3 linked regions of the Drosophila melanogaster genome follow. The protein of the gene in region 3 interacts with the protein of the main gene of each other region in a pairwise test. Each region holds a gene or a part of one and is shown on either strand. Other genes may lie near its edges.

Region 1 (10,383 bases), on a different chromosome or scaffold from region 3:
CGCCACATCTGCAGCGCTGCCAAGCGCAACGCAGCGCAAAATTATTCTAATTAGAGTGGCCCACCTCCCCGCAGCGCCGTGATATCCTTTACAGTGCCTTTGAAAAGTTAGTTCAGTTGGACAGACTCGCCTGTGTGCGTGAGTGTGTGTGTTTCTAATTTGTCTGTTATTTTTCTGGCTTTAAGCACTTTAGTTTACCAGCAGTTACACTCCTTTCAAAGAGCTAATGTGTGCGCCTGTGTGTGCAAATGGAAAAGCTTCGAGTGAAATGTATTTACCTTTCTGATTTTAAATTGAGTCTAAAGCACTTAGTCTATTACCCCCTTTTAAGCTAGTGTTGTTTGCAAGAATCTTTAAATCAGTTTTATTAGTGTTGCGTACAGCAATATGCCTTTATATATATTTGTAATTCTTATTAACTTTTCAGAAAGGAGGAGCACTTTATATAAAATGTATATAAATTATAATTCGTCAGTGGGAAAATTTCTAAAGCTGTGATAAAATGAAATTTTTAAATGTGATGGCAACCAGAATTTATATAGTAATCTCACGGCATGGCGACATGGACCAAGACTTATGCACATGATTTATCTTAAGCCGAATAACAAAAGCGGTGGCGGTGGCGATGGCACTTCCTGTGCGTGACGCAGCTCCTCCACATCCCGTTCCATGAATCACCCGCCGAGTGGCAACATGTGCTTAATAGTTTAACGCTTCGTGTGCCACTTAGCTGGGCGTGAATGCCTATCCTAAGGAGGAGCGAGCAGCCAGGAGTTGCCGCACACCGCACACACACTCATCCCTCTCCACATCGACCGTGCAATCCTGCTGATAATAATGGTAAAGTACTGCAGGAGGTGGCAATGGAGGTGATGATGCAGTCTGTCTGCCGGAGAAAGCCCCATCACATCCCAGCACTCATTTTTCGTTTCTGGCGTTAGTGGATCCTTCTCAGTTACAAATCCGCGACGTTCTTTTCTGCATGCCTGCCGTTTTGCTCCGCTTACGCGACCCCAGCCAATTTCATCTTGTTCCGCGTCATGAACGGACAGACGGACAGCCAAAAGGACGGACAGCGATTCCGGCCGGAGTCCTGGTGCCCATGTCCTCTCAGCCTGACATCGCGTGTCGCATGATGTATGACATTTTTGCGCCTCATAAACAGCTGTGCTCCACCCATGGTAATAAGGTACTTACACTCGGAGAAATGCTAGATACTAGTTTCAGAAAAAAACAAAATATTTAAAGGAAAATATTTAACAAATCAATTTGTGAAGCTTTGTTCTCATGTTAACACATAATTGGAAAGAAAGAAAAACTTAATGAAAGGCTCGATTTTAGGCAATTTTTTTTTTTAGTGCTCATGCTTCGCGAACCAGGACACCTGTCATCCTCTGCTCACCTGGTTGCTCTTTTGTTTTTGTGCATCGTCCAGACAGCCTGTACAAAGTGGGCGGCTGGCTGTATTTGAATTGGGTTGGAGCTTGGGGTTGGGTACTGGGTACCGGTGACTGGTGACTGGGGTTTGGGGTTTTTGAGGGTGGTGCCGTGTTGTTTGTTTTCGCTTGCTTTAACGAAATTGGCACGACTGGCGGGTGACGACGATGCCGACGTGTTGACTGTTTGGATGTTTGGCTATTTACTCGTTTACGTTAACGGTGAGCTGACTTATTTTCCCCGGCGGTGCAGTTCAAATATGCCGGGAGTTCCTTTACCCGCAACCGCTTGACTGCACGAGTCAAGTGAATTGACCTTTGATCCTTTCGAATTTCGTTTCCGAATTCCGTTTGTTTCGCAGCTAAAAACAAATATTCAACTAGACAGATGGACATAATCAGAAATATCTCTCTTTTGCACATTAAATGTATCCCACCATTTTGTATATTGATTAAATATTTTTGGTACACATTCGTTGTGAAAAATCGCATTTTTCTGGTGAAATGCTATCTCTGACTTTTATATGTTTGCATTTTTATCGGAATCGAACAAAAAACTGCGTGTGTTTTTCACACTGGCTCAGAGAATATGTCAGCCCGAAAATAAAGAAATACATTTGTTTTTTAAGCTATTTATGCAATCCATACTTCGTATAAAAGAAGTGGATTAAGTGGCCAGCATTTTATAATATTTTGCTATCAGTAGCTATGTGACAACGATCCTGGAATAAATATGGCGCAAAATGAATGGAGAAGTTGCCTTAAACATGTAGAACACCTGTAAAAGTTCAAATTAAATGAGTGGATTTCACAATTTTTTTTTTAAACAAGTGAAGCATACACAGATGTCTGCCCTCGACGGGCAGATTTTATTTGAAGTGTACAGTAAACAGCCAAAGTTTTCCATCCACTAATTGAATAAGTTAGTTTTCCGGAACGGAACATGCGGTTATAGTTGGCTTCCTTTTGGTTCGGCGGAGTGGAATGGATTCCCGGCGGCACGAAATGCTGCACACAGAGATGGCTTAACTTTTCGACTTCCATTTATTTGCAAACACACTCATCATCATTTGGGACTGGCCGTGCCGAAAATGCCATTAAAATCACATTTCGATTTAATTTGCATAAATTGAAGTCGAGGCAGCCAGTGGAAAATGAAGCCGAATGGCCGTCTAAACATGAACTAAAGCGCCATTCAAAATCGATTCGAAATCAATTAGAGAGTGATTTCCAATATATATACATATATATGAAATTAAATGCTTAGCCACTGTGAAGTAAATCAACCAAATCGCTCGAATTTTGGTCCGGGGTCCTTTTAAATGATGGGGTCCAAGGACACTAGGCGAAGGATTATGACACTTTTTGCGGCCCGCTGGCTGCACATTCGGCCTTTGCTTTTATTGAGCGAAATGAAAAATTCAATTAAAATGCACACATGCTCGGAACCCCACAACTCGGCAGCCAAAAACCCTTAAAAACCCGGCAACATCATCCAGTAGCAGGCAAAAAAAAAAAAAAAAAAAAAGAAAAAAATATGAGAGCGGAACGAACGCTGGCTGGCAGGAAAAACGAAAGGAAAGGAAACGAGAATGTGAAAAATCAGCATAACAAAGTGGGAAAAACTATGAAAATGCATGGCCGCTTTCACTTTTGTTTTTTTTTTTTTTTTTTGGTACATTTTCCTTCTTCATTTTTTGTGTTTTTTTTTGTAGCTTTTTGCCACGCTTCAGGAGCCTGGCTACCATCCAGCTAGACGTACTCATGTGTCCATGGAGCTGGGGACAGGCGACACAATATAGCATCTCCATATCTCTCCGGTGCTCCCAAAAGTTACGGGTTACGGGTTGGAAGTGCCAGTATGTAAATAGCCGAGCGCTGCAAGCCCATTACATTTGCACAATGAATTAGACCTAGAAGGCTTTTGTACGGCAGGTCCTGCGAAGGATTCTAACCGAATCAGCGTTTATTGTTGTCGACCCCTTGCGAGTTACACATTTTGGGACTGTGATAGGAAAATTAGATATAGAATGTAGAAAGTACTCTTTGTAAAATGAATAATGAAATGAACTAATGAATATTAAATGGGATTAAAAATGTAAATGCGTTGAATTCTATTGAAAAAGGGATTTATGAAAAGCTTTTCGTTTGAAAATGAACGAAAAAATTGTTCTGCCAATTATCTATCCCAATTATTTCTCAACAAATTTACACTGACACGTTTTTGTTGATTATTTTCGATTGCGCATTAACGTTTATTATTTTAAATTCTGTTGGTTTGTGCCATTTTCTGGCATTTTCCAAAATGCGAATATTAAACGACGGCAAATAGTGCAGCGACTGGTGGGAAAACAGTAGATACATCTGTGTATCGTGGTGCTAATGAAACAAATGCCTAAACCCCACGACCTCCGGTGCTGTCAGAATCATTTGATATGGGAGGAATTTTAGAAAACCCCGAACACCCAGCAAACAAAACCCAAAAACTGCAAAAGCTGAATTTACGGTTGAATCGACAATCGGAAACGGGGAACTGAAAACGGGGCAGGCGCGTTGGTGGAACACGGTTTTATGGCGGATTTCGACGGAATATAAAAATAAAATTGGATTTTAGCGTAGATCGTAGAAGGCCGTAAATATTTTTCAATTCACTGGCCCACAAAAGCGTGTCATGGGGGGAACGAAGGGTTGGCACATATGATTTCCCCAAGGGGCGCAAAGGGGTTGCATTTGGATTCTGCGGTTGGGAATCGCGTGCAAATGATTTGGCAGTATTAACTCACCGACACCCGGGATGGCAAAAAATTGCCCGCCGGAGGCGTCAAGACCCCAAAACACTCAAACCCCTAAAGTAGGGAGGATGCTGGTGATGCGGCGGAGCAACATGTGGGCTGGGGATTATCGAGCGGAGAGAAGGCCTCATTTGAATGCCGAGCAAAGCGATTCCTTTTTTTTTTTTTTGTTGTGTGTCTTCGGTGCGTGTGGGCGGGCAACCCTTTTGGGTCCTTTCAACGGCGGTTGGCGGTCCTCTGCTCAGGCGTTAGATACAAGTTGGAGCCCGCTTTGGCTACCTCAACAAATCCTGCGAAAACTCATTTCGTGTTGCTGGCGCCAAATTGATTTCATTGCCTGTTTGTGTTTTGTTTTCGCAGCTAAATGCCAAATTCCCTTTATCCTTTTCGAATCCTTTTGTTTTGTAGAGAATAATTTCTAGTGGCGGTTTCGCCATTATCTTTAACAAATATATAAGGGCATTCCTGCGGCATTTTGATTAAAACTTTGATTGGAATTTCGAGGGTGGTTGCAGAATTCTTGCTAACGTGGCGTGAAACTCGTTTCAAATATCTTTGATAAGCATTAAGATATAAAACATTAGAAATAAATAAAGGATAATGTATTTATTAAAATGAAAACATTTATAAGACCAATTAAATATCTATTATGATTTATAGGATCTAGTTATCAGCTGCTTTGATTCCACCCAGTATGAAATTTATAAGCCGAAACACACTTCTAAATAGTTATTCGAGTTTCTTAGAGAAATGTGTCAAGATGATTAGAATAGGGGGAGGCACCACCAGGAACAGGGGATCCTAGATGGCTCTACGAGTGCTATGGAGGCGAATGACGAATGCCATGGACCGGTTTCATCAGATAGCCTTCAGCCCAAAGTATCTCCTATTTACCAACATCGGGATCTCTGTGGGCCTGAGCATGGTGGGCGATACCATGGAGCAGTCCTATGAGCGCCTCATAGGAGAGCTTCCGGATTGGAACCGAACGCGTACCATTAGGATGGGCATATCCGGGTTGACGGTGGGCCTGGTGTGCCACTATTGGTACCAACATCTGGACTACTTGTTTCCGAAGCGCACCTATAAGGTGGTTGTAGTCAAGATTTTGCTGGACCAGTTCATCTGCTCACCCTTTTACATCGCCGTATTCTTTCTCACAATGGCCATTCTGGAGGACAATACGTGGGAGGAGCTGGAGCAGGAGATTAGGGAGAAGGCCTTAGTACTGTACGCTGCTGAGTGGACCGTGTGGCCATTGGCACAGTTCATCAACTTTCTGCTGATCAAGCCGCAATACAGGGTATTCTATGACAACACCATCAGTTTGGGCTACGATATCTATACGTCTCAAGTTAAGTATCGTAAGAAGCCGGAGCCAAAAGATAATTCGTAAATGGAGAAAAATATTTGGAATATAGCTCAAATCTAATGGTCTTAATATGGTTGTCTACTGTTCTGGACTGCCACTGCAAATCATACAATAGCAGGTCCTGAAAAATGTCATTCCAATGCCTTAGATCCTGGAACTAAAATTTTGGGTGTCCTTAAATAAAATTCTTCTTTGAAGAAAATCAGCAAAGTAGAAAAATTCAAAATCTTTATTCCTTAAAGTTGCCGGCTGTGTTAGCAAATATTTTTAAAGCAAATTTCCATGTAGAACGGATTACTCCTACAGTTAAAAACATTCTTAAAAAATAAAAATAGTTGCTTTTTATTGAAAATATTCATGCTCCTTCAATACATTTTTCCAGTTATTGCTCAATTACCAGGTCGTTGGCGTTAAGATCTGAAAGTAATTTATTGTAATTGTCCAGATATTATAAAATGTTATTCTAATTGTGACGACGGCTCAACCTGACGCCATGTCTCCGGATGTCAAGCTGGTCGTCCTCCTGTTTCCCGAGGATGAAAGGTGACCGCCCGATTCGGGGAAGGATGACTCCTTGTCAAATGCAGAACGTGGGCGGAACTTTTTTTGCGGGGTGACTGCGAAGGAGCAGATTCTGGGCGGAATTCTGGGTGAATGGCATCAAGGACCAGGGAGACACTCGAGCCGTAAGTCCTCGACGTAGAATTGTGTCAAGCATACAAAATAAATAAAAACCCAGGACGGGCGGGCACGAATAAAAAAAATGCCGAAAAGAAAGGGAAATCAAGTGACAAAATTGATGTCAAGATGAGCGAGTGCCGACCGTGCCAGGATATCCACATCCAGGGGGCGCAGAAGCGGGCTTCACGGCCACCGCCAGTTGACACCACCAAGGATAGAGACTAACATCCACTCACACACACATGTCGACTAATCCAATTTAAATCTCTTAACATGATTTGCCGCTTTCTTTTCATTTTGTTGGATTTTATGCCATTATCCCTTTTGGTCTCCTCGTGTCCTTTTGGCTACCGAATTGCCAGGCGCAACGAGATGTCATTTCTCGTTCCACAGTGGATGAATTAAAGGATTTATTTGTCAGATACTCTACTGGCCGAAGAATATAAATTTAATTTAAAGTGCAAATAGCTTCTGAGCCATCATTTTTAATGAATTAAATACTTGATAAGTATTTAAGAACTTCACTACATGATTTTCACTCGCCATCGATTGTCCCATTTGGTCCACTGTGCATGCCATTCACATTCCTTCTTCCCACTGGCAAGCTGACTTCCTGTCCTCACTGTTATCTCTCCCAAGGAGGATGCGCCTTTAAGAGGCAAGGACACCGAGGACCCCAAGCACACCAAGGACTGCGGCCAAAGGGTTTATTTATTTGGTTTAGCGGCGGACTGGCTTGCCTTAGTCGCTCCATCCTCATTTTGTGATTTAATTTAAAAGCTCAGTTCCAGTCCCACCCAGCGAATTCCTTTTCAGAAGGAATTGGTGGATCCTGGGGCTCTGCGGCACGTGGCCAGCCAACTCAGTTGGGGTCCCTGATGAGTTGTGTGCGTGGTTAAAGTATCCCACAATGAGACTACGTGTTGATGAGCGAGTTTGTCAAGCCACCGACGATGGCTAACCAAAAGCAGAAACAACGAAAAAACAGGACTTCAAATTAAGCTGTTTGATGATTTTCATATCTCAATTAATTATAAAATCAACAATTATTTGAAGGTATTCAAAATATTTAAGGTGTTTTTTTTATATTTTTTTCTACCTATTCATACCCGTAAAACTCAGTTCGAATTGATTTAATGGCATGATAAAAATGTTGACACCTGCTGTAAGCAATTAGATAAGCACCCATTGAAAGCCTGTGTAAGGGATCTGATCGATATCTACTATATATGTACATATATATGGAGGATGTACATGGAGGATTCTGTGCCATTTGAGGGTCGAGCACTCTCATCCAACCACCCAGCCATCCGATTCAGGTGGGGCAGCCACGTTCAGTTAATTGGCACTCAGAGCCCTCAAACAGAAATGCCAATGATGTTTGTCTACGAAATTACCCCGACTGGAGGGCAGAGATGTACGGTTATGTTGCGTAGTCTGTATGTTGAGGTGGAGGTTCCCATACAATCCTCCGGACCACGGAGTTTGTCTACGGGTAGCCGACCATAACCTATGCCCTTGTAATGGCATTGTGTGTAAATACAGAGCAAGAAAAAAGGTTGTGAAACTTATATAACAAACTGATCTGGCACTAAGCAGATAATATAGTTGAATTCACATACACTTAGGATTCAGATAACGATTTACTCCAGCTTAGCAAACTGTTCATAGTTTCCATTTAATTTTTTTATTAAAGACACCGATTTTTTCGCAGTGCACTTCAGCTACTTGCAAACAAAATGAGTACAAGCATGAAAATAAAAGGAAGTGGAGCATTGTGTAGTCGACATGCCCAGCAGTTATAATTCCATTTGCGATCATAAAAATGCATTACGATGGTAAGCTGCCCATAACAGGCTACATAATTAACGAGATATTCACGAGAACGGTCAAGCACTAGACTCGCCCATTGTTTCGCTGAGTGTAGGAGAAAATGGTTGCAAACGGCTTTTCAAACAAAAATGCCATAACTGGCTTGAGAACACGTGGCATATGTTACGGATGGCGGGGATTCCCCACCATTTTACCCCGCACAAAAGTTGCGTCAACTTAATTAGCCATAAATTAGCCAGGATTCACGCGTTTTTAACGACTTGTTTGTTCGCCTGGGGAGCGAGACGAGGGATTGGCAATGATGGCTCTGTCCCATCATGATGGCCCTAAGTCCATCTGTCAGCCAACTTGAACGAGTTAATTTATTTATCTTGCCGCAGCAACAGCAACAGCAGCATAACCCCGTTCTAATGCCAGTTGATTTATCTAGCTGAGTTGCTCAAAACTTTCCGTCCAGGATGGGGGCATCTCGTTACTCCGTCAAAGTCCTATTGCGGACAGCATTGATAAATATGGGTGTAAACAAGCTGCTGTTCCGTTCAAGCAAAGATAAGCTGGGGAGGATCAGGGCATTAACTCGCTACAGTAAATGGATAATAAATGCAGTCATTTCATGGGGACTTGAAAAGCATTAAAAAGTAGTTTAGTATGAGAACGAAACAAGAGGGTTCTGTTCGTCATTCCCTTTTCTACAGCCGCCTATTAGCGAAACTTACTTTTTTTCACAAAAATTATTTTGCTACTTCAACAATGAATGAGACCTTCTACTTCCTCTTAATGTTACCTTTTTTTTCTGAACAAACTTTGGTTACAAATAAAATATATTTATATGCATAAGTAACCACCCACGCCATATTTTAATATCCTCCAAAATCCCTAGCGGTAAAAGTTTGAAGGAAAACTTTGAAGGCAACTATGCTCATGTGGGCGAATCCCTTTGACCCGTTTCCGTTACGTTTGCCATCGGTCAAGAGGCTTCGTGGAGGGCCATGATATTTCACAGCTGTTTGGGTAGTAAATCAACCGCATAATGGAGCCATACAAAGGCCATCCAACATCCAGGATCCAACATCCACCATCCGATGGCCAACAATCCAGCTGGGCCCCATTGGGCCTCCGGTGCTGCTGCTGTGGCAGACTAGTCGATGATTAAAAACTCTTAATTGTTGGGCTCTGGAAAATTGAATGAGCATTAAAGTGGCCAAACGAAAGTGAGGGGTGCGGGGATCATGAATCGTGGTCGGGCAACTTCATGCGAGCTTTTCAATCCGGTTTGCATATTTAACCGTAATACCTACAATCCCTGAATACCCGGATAACTTTTATGCCTGTCCTGGCAATGGAATCGCACTAAAATCGGCAACAGCGGCGCAAACAACAATTACAGAGAGCAAGGCAAAAACAACAGCAGCCCAGCACCACCACCACCACCACCACAGCAACAATCGAAATGAGAGCAACAAATTTTAACGAGCACCACAAAACCCCGAACGCGCTGCTTTTTTAAGCCGCTTTCATTTACCCGGGCCAAAAGCACCTCGAAATCCTCACCACTCCCCACTACCCTCTCCTTTGTTATTCCCGCACTCCGAGTTGTGTAATTACAAAAAAGCCGCGGGCTGAAGTTGGTAGCATAACTTGACAAATGGCACGACGGTGGATTGGAGTGAAGGAGAGCTGGGAACGGGCCGGTTAACCAGGATAATAGGATGAAGCAAATGTAAATGAAGCAGGGACCTTCCAGCTAGCGCTGGTAAGTGTGTACAAAAAATACAACGAAATAATATTAACAAAAGGAAAGAACACACAACACGAATCGCAGCACAGACGTTGACTCAAAAATCTGTTAAGGACATCTCCAACTGGGTTTTTTTTTTCTTCGCCCCCTCTGAGTCCCAAATGGAACATCGCCGCAGGTGACGTGTCCGTAGGAAACAAAAAAAAAAAAGAAAAAGAATAAAAAAAGGAACAGGATTCGCGACGCGTGACTACGGATTTATTCGTGTTGGCTGGGAAACTTCCAAACATAGTGAAAAGTTTGTCGTATCTGGATTTCCATGTGCGATACCATCGTCTATGACAAATATGTTAAGCTATCTGGATGCTGTCTGAATTCACTTATTTGAAGTACAAATTTACGTACTCCGGTCGTCCAAGGTGTTGGAATACAAATGTTTTTGGCACATACCCGTTGGCTTTACATTTGTTTAACATCTCTGTAAAAATAGTGAACATATCCATTGAGTGGTCATATCTACAATATACTTGT
Region 2 (10,761 bases), on a different chromosome or scaffold from region 3:
ATTGGAATGGCCTGAGCCCACTGTGCTGGAATGTGGAACCTGGATTCCGCTCGGCCGGTACAAAGTGCAGTCTTTGTCCAGTTAGCGGCATCTTAATTGCTCTGGCCAGAAAATAGCAGCTCGCATTGTGCAAGTGGCCAAGTCACGCCCCTCATTACAGCTTCAACTGGGACTGTCTATAATTTCCTGATCTAAAGTGTTGATACACGGGCGAATTGTTAATTGCATGAATCTTGCTTTTAAATGTGTTTTGCCTCTAATGCATTGTCAATTACAGTGTCTGTGCTAAGCGTACTAAGATATAAGCATGCACATGAAAATTGATGCGTAGGTCTGCTGTTTGGCAATTCACGTCAATATCAATTCCAAACCCCCTGGCGGGGTCATAAGTTGGCTCTGATTTAAATACAGCTCTGTCTGGCAGTTCCCTACATTCCCATTAAAATATGTACACACTATAGTCAACAACACCTTTCCGTTCCATTGCAGCTCGGTTAACACACCAAATACAGGACCGATCCCATTACTTGCAACACAGAAACCACAAACAGAAGCGACAACAAAATGGCAATCATACTGCAAGAAGCCCAGAAGTGGTATCGGGACCTAATGGACAATAAAAGCGGTATGTCTGAAAAAGGAGTTATTCGTTGGTCATTCCCTGAGTGCGTCTTTAATTTGCAGATCCTCGCGTTAACGACTTCTTTCTGCTATCCTCGCCACTGCCCACACTTTGTATGTGCATATTCTATGCCTACTTCAGCAAATCCCTGGGGCCCAGGCTGATGGCCAAACGGAAACCGATGGAGTTGCGATCTGTTTTAGTTGTATACAACGCGATACAAACAATATTTAGCGCGTGGATCTTTTATGAGGTAAATGACTCCTGAACGACCAACTTTATCTGGCCATCAGCTTAATCCGTATTTCCCTCCATTGCAGTACTTAATGAGCGGATGGTGGGGCCACTACAGCTTAAAGTGTCAGCCCGTTGACTATAGCACCACTGGCTTGGCCATGCGGGTAAATTGGCCCAAGGCTACTCGTGCGAAAGTAAACTAAAACTCTATTCCACCGTCTAGATGGTCAACATTTGCTGGTGGTACTACATATCTAAGTTCACCGAGTTCTTCGACACACTCTTCTTCATTCTGCGAAAAAAGAACGAGCACGTCTCCACACTACACGTCATCCATCACGGCTGCATGCCGTTCTCCGTCTGGATGGGTCTGAAGTTTGCGCCAGGTACATACATATACATATAGTAATCGCGTTTATAAGGATCGAAAATTTACAGCTCGTTAATTCTCTCGTTCACAGGCGGTCATAGCACTTTCTTTGCCCTTCTCAACTCGTTTGTGCACATTGTAATGTATTTCTACTACATGATCGCCGCCATGGGTCCAAAGTACCAGAAGTACATCTGGTGGAAGAAGTACCTGACCACCTTCCAAATGGTAGTAAAAAATGTTGCCTTCGTCGGCGAGATTTCTAAAGGATCTCCTCTGACTTGCAGGTTCAATTCGTGGCCATTTTCACCCACCAGTTCCAGCTTTTGTTCCGCGAATGTGATTACCCCAAGGGCTTCATGGTCTGGATCGGATTGCACGGCGTTATGTTCCTGTTCCTGTTCTCCGACTTTTACAAAGCGAAATATCTCAACGCAGCTCGACGTCGCCGGCAGGCGGTCAAGGCCAATGGCTATGCCAACGGCTCGGCTTCGAATGGGCACAGCAAGCATCTTGGAGAGGGTGACGCCCTGATTGCAAACGGTTGCAATACTGGGGCTTGCATGGTAGGTCTTAGTGCCACCGCACACCTAATCTGGGGCTAATTGGGGGACACAAGGTCATTCATTCCCTGAGTGATAAAAGTGGAGACTGAGCACACATATTTTCCTTACATACTCAAGGCCCTGACGCCCCGACCTCACCAAGGTGAGCGTCTGGTGCGGGAGGGGCGAGCCGTCGTGGGCTGTTATATCATCATAATTTTGTTGATCAACTTAAAATTCTAACTAGCTGAGTTAGGCAAACAGCACTTGCGAACTCTCAGCATAGGCGGGGGACGTTTCAATTAGCGCTCACATGTGAAGCCGGATGCGAAGGCCCAAGCCCAGTCCCAGCCCAATCTGCCGCCCATTAGAAAAGCACATGGGCGGCATGTTCGCTGCCAGCACACGTGCCATCGTCCAGTGGAGTCTGAACCCATTGAACTCATTGAGCACTCTGTGTTTTCTTTTCAGCCGGTGATGGAGGACGAGTACGTCAAAAGCAAGGGGCAATCGAATGGTGCCTACAAGGAGGGCTTCTTCAAGGAGGGCGTGTTATCCAACAACGATGCCATCTTCAACCCGGACAGCAGTAGTTCTAGTCTGCACCAGCGCAAAGTCAAATAACTGCTGATTAGGTGTACTACGATGATATTCATTATGTTTATGTTAAGTGATTAGCGTGTAACTGAACCAGATTGAAGAACAAGACGAGCAAGAAACTTGGCAGAAGTAGCAGAAGACGATTGGCACGACAGCAGCGAAAAATTAATAGAGCTCGGTTTATGGATTGTTTTTGATAATTTATATTTTAAATACGTACAATACATAAAATCAGTTATGGCAAAAGTCAATCGGATGCGCCGAAACTTACCGAACAAACGCCACCTATGCCCACCCACCCGAACCGTCATTAACTAAAGCTAAGTAGAAAGAGAAGCGGCAGCACAAACTAAGATATAATCAAACCATTTTTACAAACATGTCCTACGGCACCAGTATGAACGTCCCGCTTGAAGCACAAATACGCCTCTGGTGCGCAGAGAAAAGTTATTTTTTGAACGATATTTATAGAGCCATAAAGCCTGTTTAAACCAGCTACAGATACCAATTATAGTGTAGCTTACCGCATACAAACACCAACAAAGACATACATACATACATACTCACTTTAGGTGTAAAATTTTGTATGAACATTTTTGATAACAAATTGAGATGTTACGGCGGCCGAACCTATGATATATGAAAGCTATACATGCTCTCTTCAGTCTGCTCTAAACTCAAAGAAGACGTTATACTATTTGTAGCTTGTTTTGTATATTGAGAGAGAACGGCATTTTGTTGCAATACTTTGTAAAGGTCTAATAGTTAAACTTATTTATACATTGTAGCTAGCTAGCCAATTGCAAAATGCAGCACGACCCAGACCTCCCCTTGGCCTTCCTGGACAATTGTGACAACTAAACGGACGACCGGACCGAAGATCACACTATAGTCAGACAAGAAAGAGTGACAAAGATCATGGAGATAAAGCTTTTATACTGTAAGTGCAAACCGGCTTAAGGACGAAGACAATCAGTTTATTAGTTGGTTGCCGACCAATGTAAATGAATCTTAACAAAAGTTTTCAACTATTTTCGCATTGCATTGAACCTCTTTTTGGTGTGGCTCATATATATTACTTTATTACTACCTATTCAATATCCGCTTGTTTCCATTTTTGGTTTGAAGTTGTTAAACGGTTTTTCAGCGCAGTGAGAAGTATTGGTGACAAATTATTTGTAAGTGTAATTCTGTCTGTTAATCCGTGCGTATGGTTTCGTTGTTAGATTATGTGGCTTAAGCTGACAAGTTCAAAAACTATAGAAAACCTAAATAAAGCTTTTTAATTTATATTAAAACTGTTCAAGAAAATATTTCAATTGTATTAACGCATATTTTGTACGTGTGTATAACTTTCATGACGGGATTGAATCCCTGGGGCCAGTGTACAGTGTAATTGTTAATAAACGAACACATTAAGTGTATTCCCACTTATAACTGATAATTAGAGGCTTTAGAGCCTCTGAGGGTGTGGCAATTGACCCATGTGGCCTATCCCCTAATGAGATTGGACATTGTTTCAGAGAAATACAAGGCATCTTGCCAGCCACGAAAATCTAGAAATAATAAAGGCTTTAAAATAATGCCTTTACTATCAGATGCCTGTTGCTTACTTAACAAAATTTCCGAGAATGGGTCAAGTGTAATATTTTATTTACAAGTCACATATTAATTTACAAATTCTACCGAATTAATATTGCATACACCAGGCCTAACACCTGATGTGCCTTTTGAACTTTTAATAAAAAAGAACTCTTGAAATAATCGCATTAGGAATTACGCTGAGCATGAATCAAATTTCACATTTCCCACTTTATACGACCAAGTAGTGAACCAAATCATAAATATTTTATGAATTACATGAATATTCCAAATAAAACTATATTATATTTATTAAACCAATAACACTATATTATAGGATATATTTAGTGTCTCCCTCCACAAGAAAAGTCCTTTGAACTACGTCGTTGCTAAGTTTTAACTTTAATTTAAGAACTCCTTGCGACGTTTATAACTTAAACCGCAACGAGAAAGGAAGTTAGCCTTGCACCTGTAGCTTATTTGCGTCTGCAGTACTATGACGTCATTTTCAGAATTAAAGGGTATATATGTAGATTCGTTGAAAAGAAAGAAATTTAAAGCGGTTATGGTAGTCCGATCTTAGCGTAAAAGATCAAGCGATTACATACCAAGACTTTGAGAAAAGTAAAAAAAAATTTGGCTGAGCCCCACTACCAAACATATGTTAAAATTAAATTGGAACCTTTTGGGCGTCTTGTTCGTCCCTTAAAAAGCATTTTTTGAAATACTTTACCTAAGCCCATAATTTGTGCTACATGTCATTAAAAACGCGTTTGCAAATGATTATTTGCTTTTCACAATTGTTTTGTCTCAAACAACAGATTAAAATGTAATACCCATTACCCGTAGAGTCAAAGGGTAGACTATAGGTAGGCAGTTTATGTTCTTTTCTGACTCGATAAAGAACATATTACTTCATCAGGACCAATAGACCGTATAAACGTCAAGATCTCTCTTGTTTTTTTTTTTACGATGATCGTTGAACGCTCGGCTGTGCAAAAGTGCAGAAACGTACCAAACAATCGAAAAAATCAAATAACAATACAGATTGCCACTGACTTAATGTACAAATGGGCCAGTACTTAATAGACGCGTACTAATTTTTGGCAAACAAATCCGCTAACAGGCGGCGACAGCTGGGCTGTACAGGCTAATATTTAAGCCCCTCTTGACCTTGTCGGCTCTCGACTCTTGCCGCATCAGCCGGACAGGGCGCGATGTTAGCCAAGTTGACATAACTTAATGCATCATAATGCACCGGCGTATTTGGAGCTGGAGCTGCGACGGAGACTATCGGCACTTCAGGCTAGTGTTAGCGTTAGATAATAATAACTATTTCCCAGCTCACTTTGGCACGCGCCCTTTGATGCGTTGTGACCAAACACTGAACCCTGACCAATTATCAATTGTATTATTACTACCAAGTATCCGAATTTCGTTTACAAGGAATGAACTTTGGAGAATTAAAAAAACTGTTGGAAAAAAACTATTAATTCAGGCAAAAGCTGCGAGTAACGACCGCTATAAAAATAAAACCCCTATTTTCTTAAATACTATCGATTTGGAACATATAATTGTAGGATAATTAGACAATAAATCTTAAGTCACCCCATATTTTGCGAAAACTCTTTCATCATGTTCCAAGCAATTCTTAATTGTTGGTCATACGGTTGGCCCAAAGTTTCGAATAAGGCCGTATATCTGTGCGTATCCATGATTATAAGCCAGATCACCTACACGGGCAGGAATCGTACGCCTCGTAATTAACATGGATGATTTAACGCTGTGAAAGGCCAGGTATCGGGGCTGTTCGGAAGTTCACTCCATGTAATATTTACTCGCTGGCAGTGTGCGATTGCTATTGCGACGGTAGCCACACTTGAACCTTGCCTGCGCCGCTGACATCAGACAAAAAAAAACAAGGTTCGGGTTCAGATTTGGGTCTTGGGTTCGGGATCTCCGGATCTGAATCGAGTCGCATCATTCCCGGTGTCCGGGAATAGCCAAGAGCCAATCAGGCCATTTGCCATCTTCGTGCACTGCACTTGACGCTCGGCGGCGGAAAGTTTTCGCACTGCACTCGGTCGGTGCTTGCCGCTGACCGTAACGTTTCCACCGCAGCCGCTGCGCTGCCAGTGGCGTTCTTCCCTGCGCTGGCGCTCGCGGTTGCGCCTGCGCCTCCGCTTCGTCGGCGTCGCGCGATCCGCGTTTAATTAGCCGCGCGGCGCGATCGCGGCTCAGTTTTCATTCAGAAGTCAAGCGCGCGCTAATCGCAGACGCAGTCACCGATCCCGTGTGCGAAAGCCGAAAGCCAAGAGCCAAAAGCTATTGCGAAAGTAATCATTTTACAAAGTTCTTTGGCAACACTTTGTGAAATAGTTCGGGCCGCGCAATTTGTGTGTTGTGGTTTTTGCAGTTTTTAGTTTTCAGATTTCGGTTGCCAGCGATTTACCAACCGAGCTGCTGCTGGCCGCCTTCCGTTGCGGATTTCGAGCTGTTTGCAAGTGGTAAGCTGTAAGTTGTTCGCACATGTGATTTTTGTTTTTCGCTCTTTTGCAACTGCGCGGCGCTTGGTCCGTTCACAATAAGCATTTTGGACGGCGCTCTCCACGCCAAAACACCTCCCCGCTCTGGCCAATCTGCCCGGCTATAAGGCGCAGATCGTCCGAGCTAATCGATTTGACTGGCCAATCGGGCTGTTCGATCCGGTGTTTCCAATGGTGTGGCAACCCTGCCATTTGGCGGTTGCACAAAATCAGCTTGCGTGGGGCATTTGATTCCCAGCGAGGATCCGATGCTGAGGACCTCTGGAGAATCCTCGACGTGTGGTCGCAGGCGGGATTCCGGCGGGATTTAGCCCTGGCCTGACTGGCAGCGCAGCGGCAGACCACGAACAGCTGGGCGGATTTGTATGCTGTTTGAGCAGCTGTTCTGGTTTCTGGACTGTTGACTCCCAATATACCGATAGGTTTTGTTTTGCTGACCCCTCGAGATAATGCATAAGAATTAGCCAGCATCGTAAAGCTTTTCACCGTTGACATTGGGTCCAAAGTAGCAGAAGCGCAATTAGTGCGCCCTTCGCGAATAATTGCCAGAGTTTTTCTTGCACTAAAAATATACAAAATGGTAATCCAAGGCAACTCGAAACAAGTGCGGAAACGATTCGCACAAAACCGGATCTGCAATGACCCGATTTTGGCCTTGGACTTGTCGCAGGGCATCCTGATCGTGGCAAAAAGTTTCCTTGAGTGTTTCCCAGTCAGGCGAGGTGGTCGAACGAAAACCGCTTCTGGGACCGACTTTCGAGGTCTTGTGACTTACTGATCGATAATGGGATAATGGTAGTGAATGGCTCCAGATCGACGATCGCTTCCGCGTTGGCTGTAATTGGACATCATAAATTGAACCGCCCAGAAGGGCTTGCTCATTGTTCTTACCCGGACTGGAGCCACTCAGGCGCTCCTCGGCGGATGCCACTAAGGTGGCAAATACTTTCAAACAGTAAGCTGGGATTTCGCTTTCCGTATTTACATATGCAAACCATTTGGGTTTTTTTCGCGCTCACCGTTCTTCAAATGCCACGCACGTAGCCGCGTTTCCAGCGAATTTACAGGCTACACGCCAATCCCCTGAGATCGCAGATCCGAGATCTGAGGCCCGACTCTCAAGAAGCCTCAAGAAGCCTCAGCCAAAACTTACCCAAACATTAAATCGCTCAACGCTCGCCGGCGTGGCCGCAGCTCTGGCTCACACCGCTTACTCTCTACTTATAAATAATTTAAACACAAAAGTTTGTTTGTCTAGAAGAGGATCTCGCTTCCACATCGAATAGCGCAATGGGGCGTGCTAACAACTGCGATTTGCGGAAGCCAAGTGTTAGGAAAAGAGCCGTAAACGTTTACATTTACGTGAAAGTATACCTTTATATGTATACTATTGTTTGCTATTATGTTTGCTATTGAATGCATTACAAACGGTTTAAATGTATTGATAAATACAAAATAGAAGGGCATACACTTTTGTCTGACTCCCATTATATATATATATATATGCATATGCATATATATGCATATATATACTTCTACCGACCATAAAAGCCACTAACCGATAGATAGGCCGCCGCTTGAATACCAAAATGTCTTGGGCAGTTTTCGAATATTTTAAACAATTACTACATTACAGTTAAGCGCCAATAACAATACCCGTACAATTCCTGGATTAAAGCAAGATTTCGTATCTTAATCTGGTAGCAATCCAGTTTGTACAATACGAACATTTTGTATATAAACTTTATAAAAAACACCTCCAAATATGTGGGATTAAAGTGACGATGACACTTCTCAAGTCCTAAAATGGCAATTAGTTAAACTTTTTTTTAACAAATTTTGCAGACAAACACATTTTGGAAAATGTCATTCAAATCTTGTTTTATAAATACAAGAATTATAACTAGAATTGCTCCCCCTTCTTCCTAGCTAATCATCATTCAACAAGAGATTTAAATCATCAAAAGATTATTCGATCACGATATACATAAATGGCTCTGATCAGACTCTCGGTTCTCATCGTCACTACGTAAACTGCCATCCACAGCGATGTTAGGGGACTTTACTTGGGATAAGCACACGTACCTACTTATAATGTCAATTGGAAGACAGCGTTTTGCAGTGACTAATGAAAACAATTAACAGAATTTCGTCCGCCTATGTCTGCGACGTGTACGGCATTAAAAATATTCCAGAAGCAACAACACTATCAGCCACATCTCCGCACTTTAGACAGAAGATACTCACAACTTGTTCATGACACTAAAACAAGTTGAGACATCACCTAGCTTGCACTTCGGTTTGCATTACCTTAGTTCTGCTTTGAGTTTCAACTTCCCCGATTTGATTCGACAAACTGGAGTAACTAGCGTAACTAGACTTACTCTACTCTAACTAGAGTTTACAACAGCAGTCTTTGAAACCCCGGGAAATTAGTTAAATAGCTTGTCAGTAAATTGACTTAATTAGTGAGCCGAAGCGCGAACAGCAAAACGAAAAGGAGCTGCAATATGCCCAATAAGACTAACATTTAGAAGAACACCACAAATTGATCGTTATAAGAAACTTCCGTTTCAGAAATATAAGTCCAATACCATGGTTAAGTATTCCTTATGGTTTTCGAGACTAGGGTACATTCCTTATAAATTCCTAATTAATTATTATACACAATACTTGTAGGGTAGACCTGAACTTGAAATGTATTTGATAGAAAGCATATCTTCGACGCTTTATTTTCTTTTTGTTTCCGGAATTCTATTATGTTTTGATAATTTCTAAGGTAGCCGAAGACAATTTAAAAATGTATCCTTCGCAATCCTCCGTATATATGTACATATGTATGTGTATTCGAACAAAGACTAGGCAGTCGAACTAGCCAAGTTCATCTGGACTTCCTTTAGCTGGGTAATAGGTATCTGATAGTCAGGAACTCGATGAAAGTGATTACTCTTGTTTTTATAAAATGCTGAAAGCATTGTTTGTTTGGCCAAATTGTGGGAAATAAATATCAGCCAATATGGTTTAATAGAAACAAGTTAGTTAACACACTTCGTGTAAATGCAATTCAAGCAAGATCAATAGAAAATGTTTAGAATGTGCTTACACCTCGTTACACTTAGCAAACAGGTTGGGAACTTAATGCTAGAATTGATTGAAATCGATTGATTTCAGGCTTTCCGTAGCTACCTTAGTAGAGTCAACAGCTTTTCACATGGTAATTATTTCCGCGTGGAATTGCAGTCGCGTTGCATGCAAATAATTCGGAATGAATTAATTAGGCGAAATTCAAGTTGTCCCGGAAGCAAACAGGCAATAGGGCGGAAAAGGCCGATCCAGCGAGTAGCATTGAGATCGGGCTTTGCCTTGACATGGCGAAAATATGAGTGATCAGACCTGCCCAAATTACTGACTAATATGTCCAAAACAAAAGGCAATTGTACTCGGATACGACGCATTTGCGCTGCTCGTTTTAATGAACATTTTTCGCGCCAGCGCGGTTACTTTACTCGCAATAAATCTGTCAACAAAGCACTGACTTCTCACTCGAGGATTTTGACATTGAAGATGAAGACGCCGACGCCAAAGGCGATGGCGTTGAAGACCCCGCCAAGCGGCGCCGATTGAGCTGTCGAGCAGCTCCGAAATGGTGCCCCCTCCCCATACCGCCACTCCCAGTTCCGACCATTGTCTTGGCCGAGGGCCAGCTCCATTCCGGCCAATCTCGAGAGCCTGTAATCGCTCATTTGCGGTTTATGCGCCGCGAGATGAGCACACGCACATGTGGAAGTGTGGAAGTGGCTATATGGGCCGAAACTAGTGTGAGTTTCAACAGAGATTAGTGGCTATTAGCAGAGTTACCTTGGAGTGGACAAGCTGGGAAATGTGCCCCAGAGGAGGCCTTGAGCTCGCGCCGGCTTAGTCGCGTTTTATGGGACATCGGAAGAGGGTATTAGGTTCTTTTCGACAGCCGATTGGTGGTTGGTCTTACAGGTGTCATGGGGTGATTCCCGCCCAGTAATGCCGATAATAGCACTCGGTAATTAGCTGCGGAATGCTACTATGGAATTACGAAGTTAGATGCGATCCCAAGAGGAGGCCTTCAGGTAGCGAATGTTAAGCCGTTTTATTGCCAATAAAGCAGTAGATTCTCAGGCTCTGTGGGCGACAAAGTCGCCGTTGGCGATTGGTGATGATATACCTGCGGAGTGCAGGTGTCAGGCGGTTCCTTCCTAATTCACGCCCATCATCGGGTAATTGCCT
Region 3 (10,343 bases):
TACCAGTACCAACTAAGCTATCAGAGCCACTACACTAACCGCATCCAAAGCTGGGATCTAGTGTCGAGTAAGCGGTCAGCAGAAGAAGAATCAGTAGAGACACTCTAGCATATAGAAGACACTTTTCACTTTGTACTCGGTGAAGACTTCCGTGCAATCCATGAATACTACATTGCCACGGGGTGCAATTCATTTCCACTTAGAGCTTAGAGAATACAAGAACATCATCTGTCAATCACATCTGCATTTGCATCCGCATCCGCATCCACACCGTTTCATTCGCCGCGTCGCCTATGAAGTTATTGGTTAATTATACCACATACCACATACTTGTGCCTTGGATAAACGATAAACCATCGCTCACCATCATCCGTACAGCATCATCCACTGTCCACCATTGTAGAACGCTTACCTTGTTGCTTGTTGCCTGCCTGCTTGTGAATATGCATTAGCTCGATGTACTGACACACTCTATCCGGCAACCGATCATGTTCTAGTACTATACGCTTCCATATGTGTTCCCATTTCTTTGATTGATTGTTCGTTCAGTAAAGTTTTGCGAGACGCCGGCTTTATTCACTGCATGATCCGAACCTACTGCAACCAACTGCACCTATGTACAATATATTTCAACGCCTTGGCGGTCTTTTTGGTTTGGCTACACTTGTAGATACATATGTATATTGCTGGGTTATTTGCGTATTGTATCGGATTTGTATGCGTATTCAGATATTTTGCGAGAATATACATGTCCCATTTGAGTACCTACTAATTGCCGAATGTATAAATGTGACTACTTACTATATATATATATATAATTTTATATATATATATATATATATCTATATATATTATGTACTATACCTCGCCTTCGCCTCCCGGGAGCTACATTAGTGCCAGTGTTTTACCGCCTAATTGTGTGTTCTTGTAGCCAATCCCAACACCCAGGATGGGGTCGTTCGCTCTCAGCGGGGGACTCGCACCCGAAAACGCACTCGATGCTCTGCTAGATGAGCTCAAGACATTCTCCAAGCCCATCGCCCAACAACAGCAGCAGCAGCAGCAACAGCAGCAGCAACAACAGCAGCAGCACCAGCACCAGCAACTATACGAGGTAAGTGTGCTCACCAAGCGCGTCCCCCATCCCCAGCCAAACTCATGGGGTCCAAGTCTCCCTCCGCAGATTCGCCCTGAAGACTCGGCATCCGACGAAAGCGCCCAGGCCGCAGTACAAAGCACCGTCACCACGCAAATATCGCAGGCCCGTCTCTACACGGAGGCGAGCGTCAATGTGCAGCAAGCGACCACCGGCAGCATGGTCATCGCTGTCGCCTCGGGAACTGTTTCGGCCCAAGCTCAAGCCCAGCGAGGAGTGCTCACCCACCAGCAGTCGCAGTCGCAGGCACAGCTGATGGTGCACACCAACATGGGCAGCCTGCGACGCCTGCACTCCTATCCCAGTGAGTCGGATGGCGAACTGCCTGGGCCGCCACCGACTGGCCCGCGGGCCAGCGAGACCTCGTCCTCGACCAGCCTGGCCAACGGCGGCAGCAGCAGCAAGCCACCCGTGCCCGAGCGAAACGCTGAATTGATCACCAAGGTGGGCCACAAGCGCATCCCGCCACCTCCGCCGCCACGCACCAGCTCACGCAGTCCACTGGCCAGTCCAACCAGCCCGAACGTGCCACCAAACCAGGCTGCCGCAGCCACAGTCAATTTGATTCCCAATTCCAATTCAAATGCCAGCGCCAATGCCAATGCCAATGCCAATAGCAATGCCACAGGAAACAAGGGAATAGTGGGTGAGACTACGTCCGTCGTTAGCGGCGACACCTCAAGCGGGGACAACTCGAGCGGCAACGAGTCCGGCAACGATCATGTGCAGCGCCAGGTGGCCCTCGAGATGCGCCACCAGGAGCTGCTCAAGAAGCAAAAGATGCTGCAGGAGCAGTACCAGCGGTTGCAGCAGATGAGCAAGCTGCCTTCGGTGGATGTGGCCTCCTCTTCCTCCTCCTCTGCACAGGACATCGCAAGTGGCAGCAATACACTCCGGAAGCTGGGCAGCGAGACAAACATCCAGCAGAAGATAGCCGCATTGAGTCTAGCCTGTGAGACTAGTGGAGCCGCAGCTGCGGCGGCAGCGGCGGCTGCTGCTGCGGCTACCAATGGCGGCGTGGTGGCCAGTGATGCTACGAGCGGTGCGATCGGCGGTGGTGGTGGTGCTGGAGCTGCAGGGGCGGCTGGTGCGAGCGCTGCTGCTGCACACTCCAACTCGAACTCGAACTCGAATTTGAATTTGAATTTGAACTCCCAACACCAGACCGCCACAACGACCACTAAACAGCTGTACGAGACCGAGATACTTTAACACAACTGGAAATTGGCGTGGAACGAAGCTAAAATTGACATTTAATCGGAGCAGTTGAGATTTTTATATCTGAGATTGCGGACCAGACTAGTCGAGGCCCATCAACACCCATACCCATAATATGTGGGGACTACGATTCCGAATCCAAATCCAAATCCAATTCCGATATAGAAACGTTGGAGGCATTGACAAATGAGAACGAAACGAGACGATAGTAATGATTGAATATGAATGGCAAACACCTTTTCGTTTGTTAGGATGAGCACGGACTAACTCACAGCGTACTTGTATTTAATATCATCTAATTGTCGTACACAAATATGTGTTTGCACAAATCCAGCATCCGCATCCGATGTACTTTATGTGTTGTCTGTGAGAACGCAGGGCAAATTATCGGAAGCAAAACTAAACGAAAGCATACAGTATCGAATCGAAACACAAATCAAAAGACGTATAAGTAACTTGTGCACCCCCATATAAAAAACATAAAGCAAAAAACCAAAAAACGGGCAACCGTACACCCCATGCACCAGAGTAAAAATGCCCAGATGAATGTATTTATGTATGTATTCGCTTACATTGATGTACTTGTTGCATGTTGTGTTTTTGTTGTTGTTTCAACGAAGTTATAGGTCATATACATAGTTCAAGAGCAGGAGATGGGCAGGCGTTTGGCGTTGGAGAACAATAAGTTCTCCAAGACACCAGCACCATAATCCCCAGCACTATGCCACGACACAGCCATTAAATCCCAGCATCCCTACATCCATACATGTGGACTATGTGTTAAGGTCCAGCCGCACCACCCGCCCCTGAACCAAAATCCAAAGTCTAGAATCTAAAAATCAGGATGTGGGATCCAGAGGCCAGGACCTGGCCACAACACAACATATAACACTTAGAAGCAACCCATACACCATACACCGGCATAGCAAAGCAAAACGCCACACAACACACAGTCGTAGGAGCACAGGCCGATTGAAGTTTGAAGATTAACCATTATGCACATGTACAGATCTACGTATGTACTTAAATAATATGTCATAGATTTTTATTATTACCTTGGTATGGGACGTGAGACTGATAGTTCTATATATGTAGCTCATCAAGATACAATATGAAATACGATGGCGGAAGCTAAAGATATTGTACTTATTTTTGTTATAAAGATGACTAGCTAATTTTATCCCCCTTCCCCAAGAGAAGCGACAAACAGCACTCCCTCCAGCCACTGCGTAGTGGAGGCCTCAGCTCGTTATTCCCGACCGGATTGGCGGAGAGTGCTGGTGCCCATCGGACTACCGACGGTTCTATTGTTTACATGCTGCACCTATCAAATGGGTAACACATATGTCCTTAGCTATATGCATTCAACGCTACACGCTACATCGAACGGTGGTCAGTGGCTGGCCAGCCAGGCCCAGGATCCAGAGACCCCAAGGCCACGTCCACGGTTATTTTACACATGGGCCTTGCCCAGAAACGGGCTTCTCTTCCCACACGATCAGGATATCGAGTACGCTCTTGACTGCATTGCATTGTTTTTGGAGGGTCCAAATCCAAGTGTGGATTTGGATGGAACGGGGAAAGAGCACACTCGTGCACACACATAGATTTGTTAACCTTACTGCCCGGCCAGTATTAGACTTCAGTATTATAGGCTAATTTACATTTAAATAAACTTGTAACACACGACTTGAGAGTAATTTGTTGCACCTCTGCCACATTTTATATCGATTAAACACAAACATGCATTCCTTAAATTGTTCAATTTTCGAAGTCTAAATGAGGTCTGCTGAGTTCGCCACACCGATCCTGATTCATTCGGGAGCGGAGCGAACTTCACACATAGGACGAGCGCCGTAGCATAAGATCTAACACCATGCCACACGAACAGGTTGCAATGAACACTTTAGAGTATATGTAACTGCATCTGCATCTGCTATTCGCTACTCACATATGTATGTATAAATGCATAGTTCTATTAAATGTATATCCTCCAATAGCTCAAATACACCTCCTCCAGGCCACTGCTGATGCGGTGGTGCCACAAGCACAACAGTGAGCCGTATCCTTTATAGGTAGTCCCAGTTTAGATGCCCCCCATGTGCAATAGACTTGACATCAGGACTATACGCCAAAACACTTATGTATGTAACTTAGGTGCGCGCTCGAGACATTTATATACATGGCATATATACACAAAGACAGATATTTACCTAAGTTAGAAGATTTGTATTGTTTATTTAGCGCCATTCGACGAATATGTATAACATATATATTTACATGCAAAACCACGCAACGAATACACATTTAAAAGAACATATATACATGCCTACGATGATGAATACGATGAAATACGACGATAATAAATAACAACCTATGCGAAAGGCAGTGTTAAAGAGTCCCCTAATAATACCAAGTCAACATATTTAAGTATAAAGTTAAACCAGGGCACGTGGCCAAATCGAAGGCATCGTGACCCCACTTATATTCCCAAAAGGCACAATACACCGAATCACACTACACTACACACCACACACATACACACTCACACGCCTACACAGGTATTTAGCATCGCGATCACGATCACGATCTAATAACGATCTAATGGCGATCTAAAACCAAACCAAAACCCTCGCCCCACTGGGAGAAGGGAGATGCAGAGCTCAATTCAAATTGCAGCTGCATCGGAAGAGTTGGAAGTGCGTATTTTTTTCTTAATAATAATTATTCTATTTAAATCACAACAAACCACAACAATAAATATCATTCGTAAAATGAACTCCGAACACGAGTTTCTCTATTGATTTATTGCCACATGTAAGTAGGCTGACTAAGCTCACGACCCTAAGCAATGGTGCTGATCAACGTTACTCCTCCATTTTATACTTCCAGATCCACCGCACCCACTACAAATCGTCAAGTGCATGCACACTGTTCTTAAGGCTACACACCACAAAAATCGTTCACATATGTATGAATATAGAAGGCACACGGTTCCGCAGATACAGTCGGATACATATAAAGGTAGGACACGTATGAGAATACGCTCTGTCATGTGATTGTGTCACAGTCTGGCCGTCTGTTTGACCAACTGGCCATCTTACTCTCCACTCTGGCTCTACGATTCGCACAGCCAATCGCATGGCAACTTGGGCATTTTACTGGCCGGCCAGGGCAGATAGCCAGCCGTCTTGAAGACCCAATAGTCGTAGGACACCTTGGTAATAAGGGCGAGCAGCAGCAGGACCTCGGCGGCTATTAAATAGTATATGTAATCGGTCCAGTCTGGTGGGGACTGGCATAGTTTGGCCTCCTGCAGTTCGATGACTCTCTGGGGCATGTTGCGACAGCGTATCTCCATATAGTCGGGTATATCGGAGCTACGCTCCTTAAGCCAATTTTGCAGCGTCTTTGCCGAGTTGCAGTCGCACTGCAGCTTGTTGCCTGCCAGGTAAATACGACGGCCCAGGCCAGAGTCCATCAGGGCATTGTTGAGAAAGTACTCCGGAATCTATATCGTTGTAGAAAGATACAGTTTGTTTTAGGGATTGGTACATTAGTAGGTCAGAGCACTCACCTTGCTCAGCGAATTGTTTCGCATGTAGATGCGCTGAAAGGTTTCGATGAACTTGGTACCCTCGAACTCATAGATGGAGGATATCTGGTTGTTATCGGCCAAGAGACGGTTAATATTGTGGTAGGTGGGATTGGTATGGAAGTAATCGCCCAGGCTGGTTATCTTGTTGTTTGTGATATTGAGCATAAATGTGTTGTCCGGCAGTCTTTGGGGTAGCTCCACCAGGCCAAGATTGGAACAGTCTACGTGGCACTGGGGCTTCGACTGGTTGTCCTGTATGATCATAATATTCTCCAGCGTACAATTGCAGCTGCCGTAGTTCGGAATAACCGGACAATTAGTCACACACCGCTTTCTGTTCTCCAGCTGCTCCACGGACACCTTGTCCGTGGACTGAAACCAGGTGTGTGTGGCGTTATACTGACAGTAGGAGTGCTTCGGGTTCAGGAAATTAATAGATTCGGTGTATATTATCTCGTTTAGCGGAGTGCACAGCATGCGCATGTTGCCACTGAAAAGAATCGTTTGGTTAGGCCTCTTCCTTTTCTAAACATATGGCCTTACTCACCTGATATCCAGCGTAATGTTCTTGTTCTGGTTTCGGTGAGGCACCAGCGAGAGATTGTTGTTCGACATGCCGAAGAACTCCAGATGGGGCACGTCCTTCACCGCCCTCGAGTGGATCTCCGAGATGTTGTTGTTTGATATGTTTAGGCACTTAAGAGCCGAGAGCCGCGGAAAGGCGTTCACCAGTCGAGTGATATTGCCGTCCGTCACGGCAAGCGACTGCAGGGATCGGAATATTGGATTGGAGAGGTCCATGTCCTCCACAGTCATGTTGCGCACGTGCAGGTTGGTCCACTTGGATATGTTGCTGCAGCTTGAGATCATCGTCAGCTGCGATATGTTGCAGCAGTACCAGGAGTTTGGCCGCGTCGGGTGCTCCCTGCACTGGCACTGGCTGTTCCCCTGTCCTCCTCGGTTCTGGGCTTCCGACTGCGCGACTGTCGAGCCCTGGCCCTCGGAGGTTTCGGCTCGTCCGTCAAAGGTGTGGCCACACAGCTGCTCTTCTGCATAGAAGCAGTGCTTCAGATACTCGGGCTGTTCGGGAGCAGCCGGCGGAAGGGGTGCGGGCGAAGTGGTCGACGTGGTCGAGGTGGAGTGCGATGTGCTTGTGGATGTTGTGTCTGTCACAGATCCCGGATCGGACATGCTTTGCGTCTCGGCCAAACTTGATGCCGTCGTGGTTTCCCCAATGCCCACGTTATCAGTTGTTAGGATGGGAGCAGGTATTGCTGTTCCCTGCTCATCTTCCTTCAGCGGCGCATGGGGATGGGCATGGTGATGATGGCGAGCCTGTGGATGTGCGTGTGCATGTGGAGTAGACTCCTCGCCTAGTGCAGCCGGATCCGGTGTGTGTGCTATTTCTGGCCGCGCGCATGCGCCTGCTACAAGGAGCAGCAGGAGCAGGAGCCATGTGCCCTGCAACGACAACGACAATCAAAGGGCGCGTTAAAGCGAATCGAGTGGGGAAATGGGAAAAACGCCGTGTCGCACGTTGGACATACATATGCAAATATTTGCTACACCAGACGCGTTTGTTTGCAAATCGAATTAGACCGACGAGGGCTTGGCCTGGCTCGTCCTCCAATTGCCGTAATTAGGGTAAGTGAGGCACACCCTGTACGCATAAGTTGCTGGGCCTGCGGCTCTGGGAGTCGGGAGGGTCTTCGGTATCCAACTGGTTTCTAATTGTTTGCCCACTCGATTTAGCGTCTTGCGGGCCAACTGCCAACAACACTGCCATGCTAATTCGGCAATTAATTAACGAATCGTATGTGATAAAAGGGCAATAAAAAGATTAATTGTGTTAGGCAGCAATTGTGGGCGGGTCGGTGTCGGTTGGTGGCAAATTGTCGGCTTCGGCATGGAGTGGAAGTGGAAGGGGGCTATTTCCAGATCTTTGGCTGGTCAAAACAGCATAACAGTTTGGTATTACCATAGGCCAATAATAGGTTTGGTATGGAAAACATTTCCTTTTTGGCTTAAATGTTCCATAGCGTGTGAGGATACGAGGATTAACTAAAGATGGCCTCTGATTTCAAGGCAAATGCGCTTCTTTTCACAACTACAATATGAGAAATACCTATGCTGTATGAGTATAATAACTGGGTGTGGTATAAAATATAGAGCCATGGGTAGTATAACCTCACTAGCAGCACCCCTCCCTCGGAGCAATTTAGAGTGCTTTCGAGATTATAAACACAATATCAGTATCGGCATGCCCATGTCCATACCCCTACCCCTCCTGCTACAGGTACACCCATACACTAGCAGAGCTGCATGCGCATTGGACTTACGTGGGTGTACGCGAGCATGTCGCCTCCGAAATGAATTCCACTAGGTGCTCCCTGGCAGGTTTACTCCTCGACTAGGTGGCGCGGGAACGGAGCGGTCATCCACATCCGAGGAATCGCAATCATACGGAAGTGTTCACAATTTAAATGCTTTGCGCACATCCCAGTCCCAGCGGAGAGGAGCTACTTTCTGGGCGGTTCTGCAGGCTCGTTCGGTCCGCCAGGTGATCTGCCACAGATCCGTGCATGGGAAGAATCGGTCGGGTGTGATACGTAGGTGAAACACAAAAGTATCTCGACTCGAATTGATAAACTACGAACAAAACAAAATGCAAATGTTAAGTGCGCGCAGCGCAGCAGAGCACTCGCTGTTAAGTCTGATGTTAAATGCTCTGTTCGCCGCGGGCAATCGACTTATCGATACAGTGACATCGTTTGCACTGCGATTCGATAGTTGGCAAACGTAATCCGTTGAATCAATTTATATAATAAACACATATATATTTAATTTATTGTTCATCTTTAACTTAGCAACAGGACAGTAATAACCTATAGGATTAATATAAGAAATTTAATGTATGACCCATAACAGGAATGGGTTAACACATAAGGGTTAAGGCCATATATCGATATAAACGTCGATTGTGACCGCCGTTTGCGCATCTCTGAATCTGGCGCTCACAAGTTTAATCAAGTTGCTGTTTTTTAAGTCAAATATAAGCTTTTTAATAGTTCCCTTCAAGCGGATTCCGTGAAATTGTTTATGTTGTCGAGTAGCAAGTTGGAGAATTCAAGACCAACACTAAAAGGCAGGATACAAACGGAACGGGTGGCGTAATCGGAAACGTCATACTGCCGCACGGAACAAAGTCTAAACAGGAAATACTAGCATAGCGTTGCGAAATTCGGGCCAACTCCACGTAGCCTAAATATGCCCATAGATACGCGCGAGTTGATGGAGGCGATAGCCATCGTAGCGGACGAGCGCAACGTCCGCGTCGCCGTCAAGCAGTCCGGCAAGGGAGCGGCAATCTGCGCCGCCTGCTCCTTTGCGGGTGGCATGCTCCTGGGCCCCGTTGGGCTGGCGGTTGGCGGGGCCGCCGGCGGAATCGCCGCCTACAAGATGACAAGCGGTAAGCGGAGGAGAACTCCCGTACTCAGTCTCACTACATTTCCACTTCCCTCCTCCCGAACAGGCACATTCCGTCCGCTGGGCGAAGTCATCCTAAACGACCTGACGGACGCACAGCGAGAGCAGCTGGTGCAGCACGTAACCATGGCCGTGGCCGACATACATCCCACCGACGTGGTGATGCTGCTGCCGCTGATTGTCCAGAACGCCTCCATTCAGCAGGCTGTGCTTAACACTGTCATGTCATTCGTGACCAACGAGTTGCGCATGCAGATTGTGGACTGACCTGCTCTGCGGGCAAGTGGGCGATGGCCAGGTAACTGTAGAATTTGGACGGCTATCTCAGTCGAAACCTTTGTGATCAGTGTAGGTTTATTTATAATAATAAATACTTTATATGTACATAAATATTTGGGTCTGAACGACGGTGGTAGCGAACTACTCCCACTCGACATTCACCTGCTCCCAGTCGTCAACGAACGGCTGGTCGATGGTGCTGATTAGCAGCCCGCAGAATAGGCAATCCGCAGCAAGAATATCCTCGATCTCGGTTTTCAGTGCCGCCCTCTTCCGCTGCAGCTCCATCGCCTGCTGTTTGCTCAGGGCACCTGACTGCGGTTGCGCCTGCGTTTGCACCTCCGCCTCCAGTTGCTGCTTTAGAGTGCCGAGGCGCCGACATTGCTCCTTGGTGAGCAAGGGCACAACGTGCTTCTCCAGGCAATCGCTGTGGAACTTGTGGCCGCAGATGAAGATGAAAAAGGGCTTAACCAGCAGCATCATCTCGCAAATTTCGCAAGTATCCTGAGACTCAACGGTGAGGCTGTGCTGGCGCAATTGCTGCAACTCGGCGGTGACGCGATCGGTTTGCTCCGTAGTCTCGGCCATTTCACGCTGCAGCTCCTG

What was found.
Region 1: the proteins of CG3740 (region 3) and CG5906 interact in a two-hybrid assay, tested with the Drosophila melanogaster proteins (one large-scale study listed by BioGRID).
Region 2: the proteins of CG3740 (region 3) and CG31522 interact in a two-hybrid assay, tested with the Drosophila melanogaster proteins (one large-scale study listed by BioGRID).

What each region holds. Positions count from the first base shown.
Region 1 is NT_037436.4:11,865,888-11,876,270, reverse strand, and holds CG5906 (uncharacterized protein), read left to right. Parts: upstream 1-4,965; 5' UTR 4,966-5,033; coding exon 5,034-5,624; 3' UTR 5,625-5,814; downstream 5,815-10,383.
Region 2 is NT_033777.3:4,458,328-4,469,088, reverse strand, and holds the start of CG31522 (uncharacterized protein), read left to right. Parts: upstream 1-6,205; 5' UTR 6,206-6,462; exon of another isoform or gene 6,463-6,469; intron 6,470-10,761. Other genes in the region: CG31523 (uncharacterized protein), read left to right, coding at 565-625, 685-875, 943-1,023, 1,083-1,245, 1,321-1,457, 1,517-1,795, 2,246-2,398.
Region 3 is NC_004354.4:1,667,906-1,678,248, reverse strand, and holds CG3740 (uncharacterized protein), read left to right. Parts: upstream 1-8,951; 5' UTR 8,952-9,239; coding exon 9,240-9,441; intron 9,442-9,460; exon of another isoform or gene 9,461-9,504; coding exon 9,505-9,725; 3' UTR 9,726-9,843; downstream 9,844-10,343. Other genes in the region: CG32809 (uncharacterized protein), read left to right, coding at 932-1,114, 1,184-2,368; hfw (halfway), read right to left, coding at 5,493-5,885, 5,952-6,462, 6,520-7,433, 8,312-8,329; dor (deep orange), read right to left, coding at 9,879-10,343.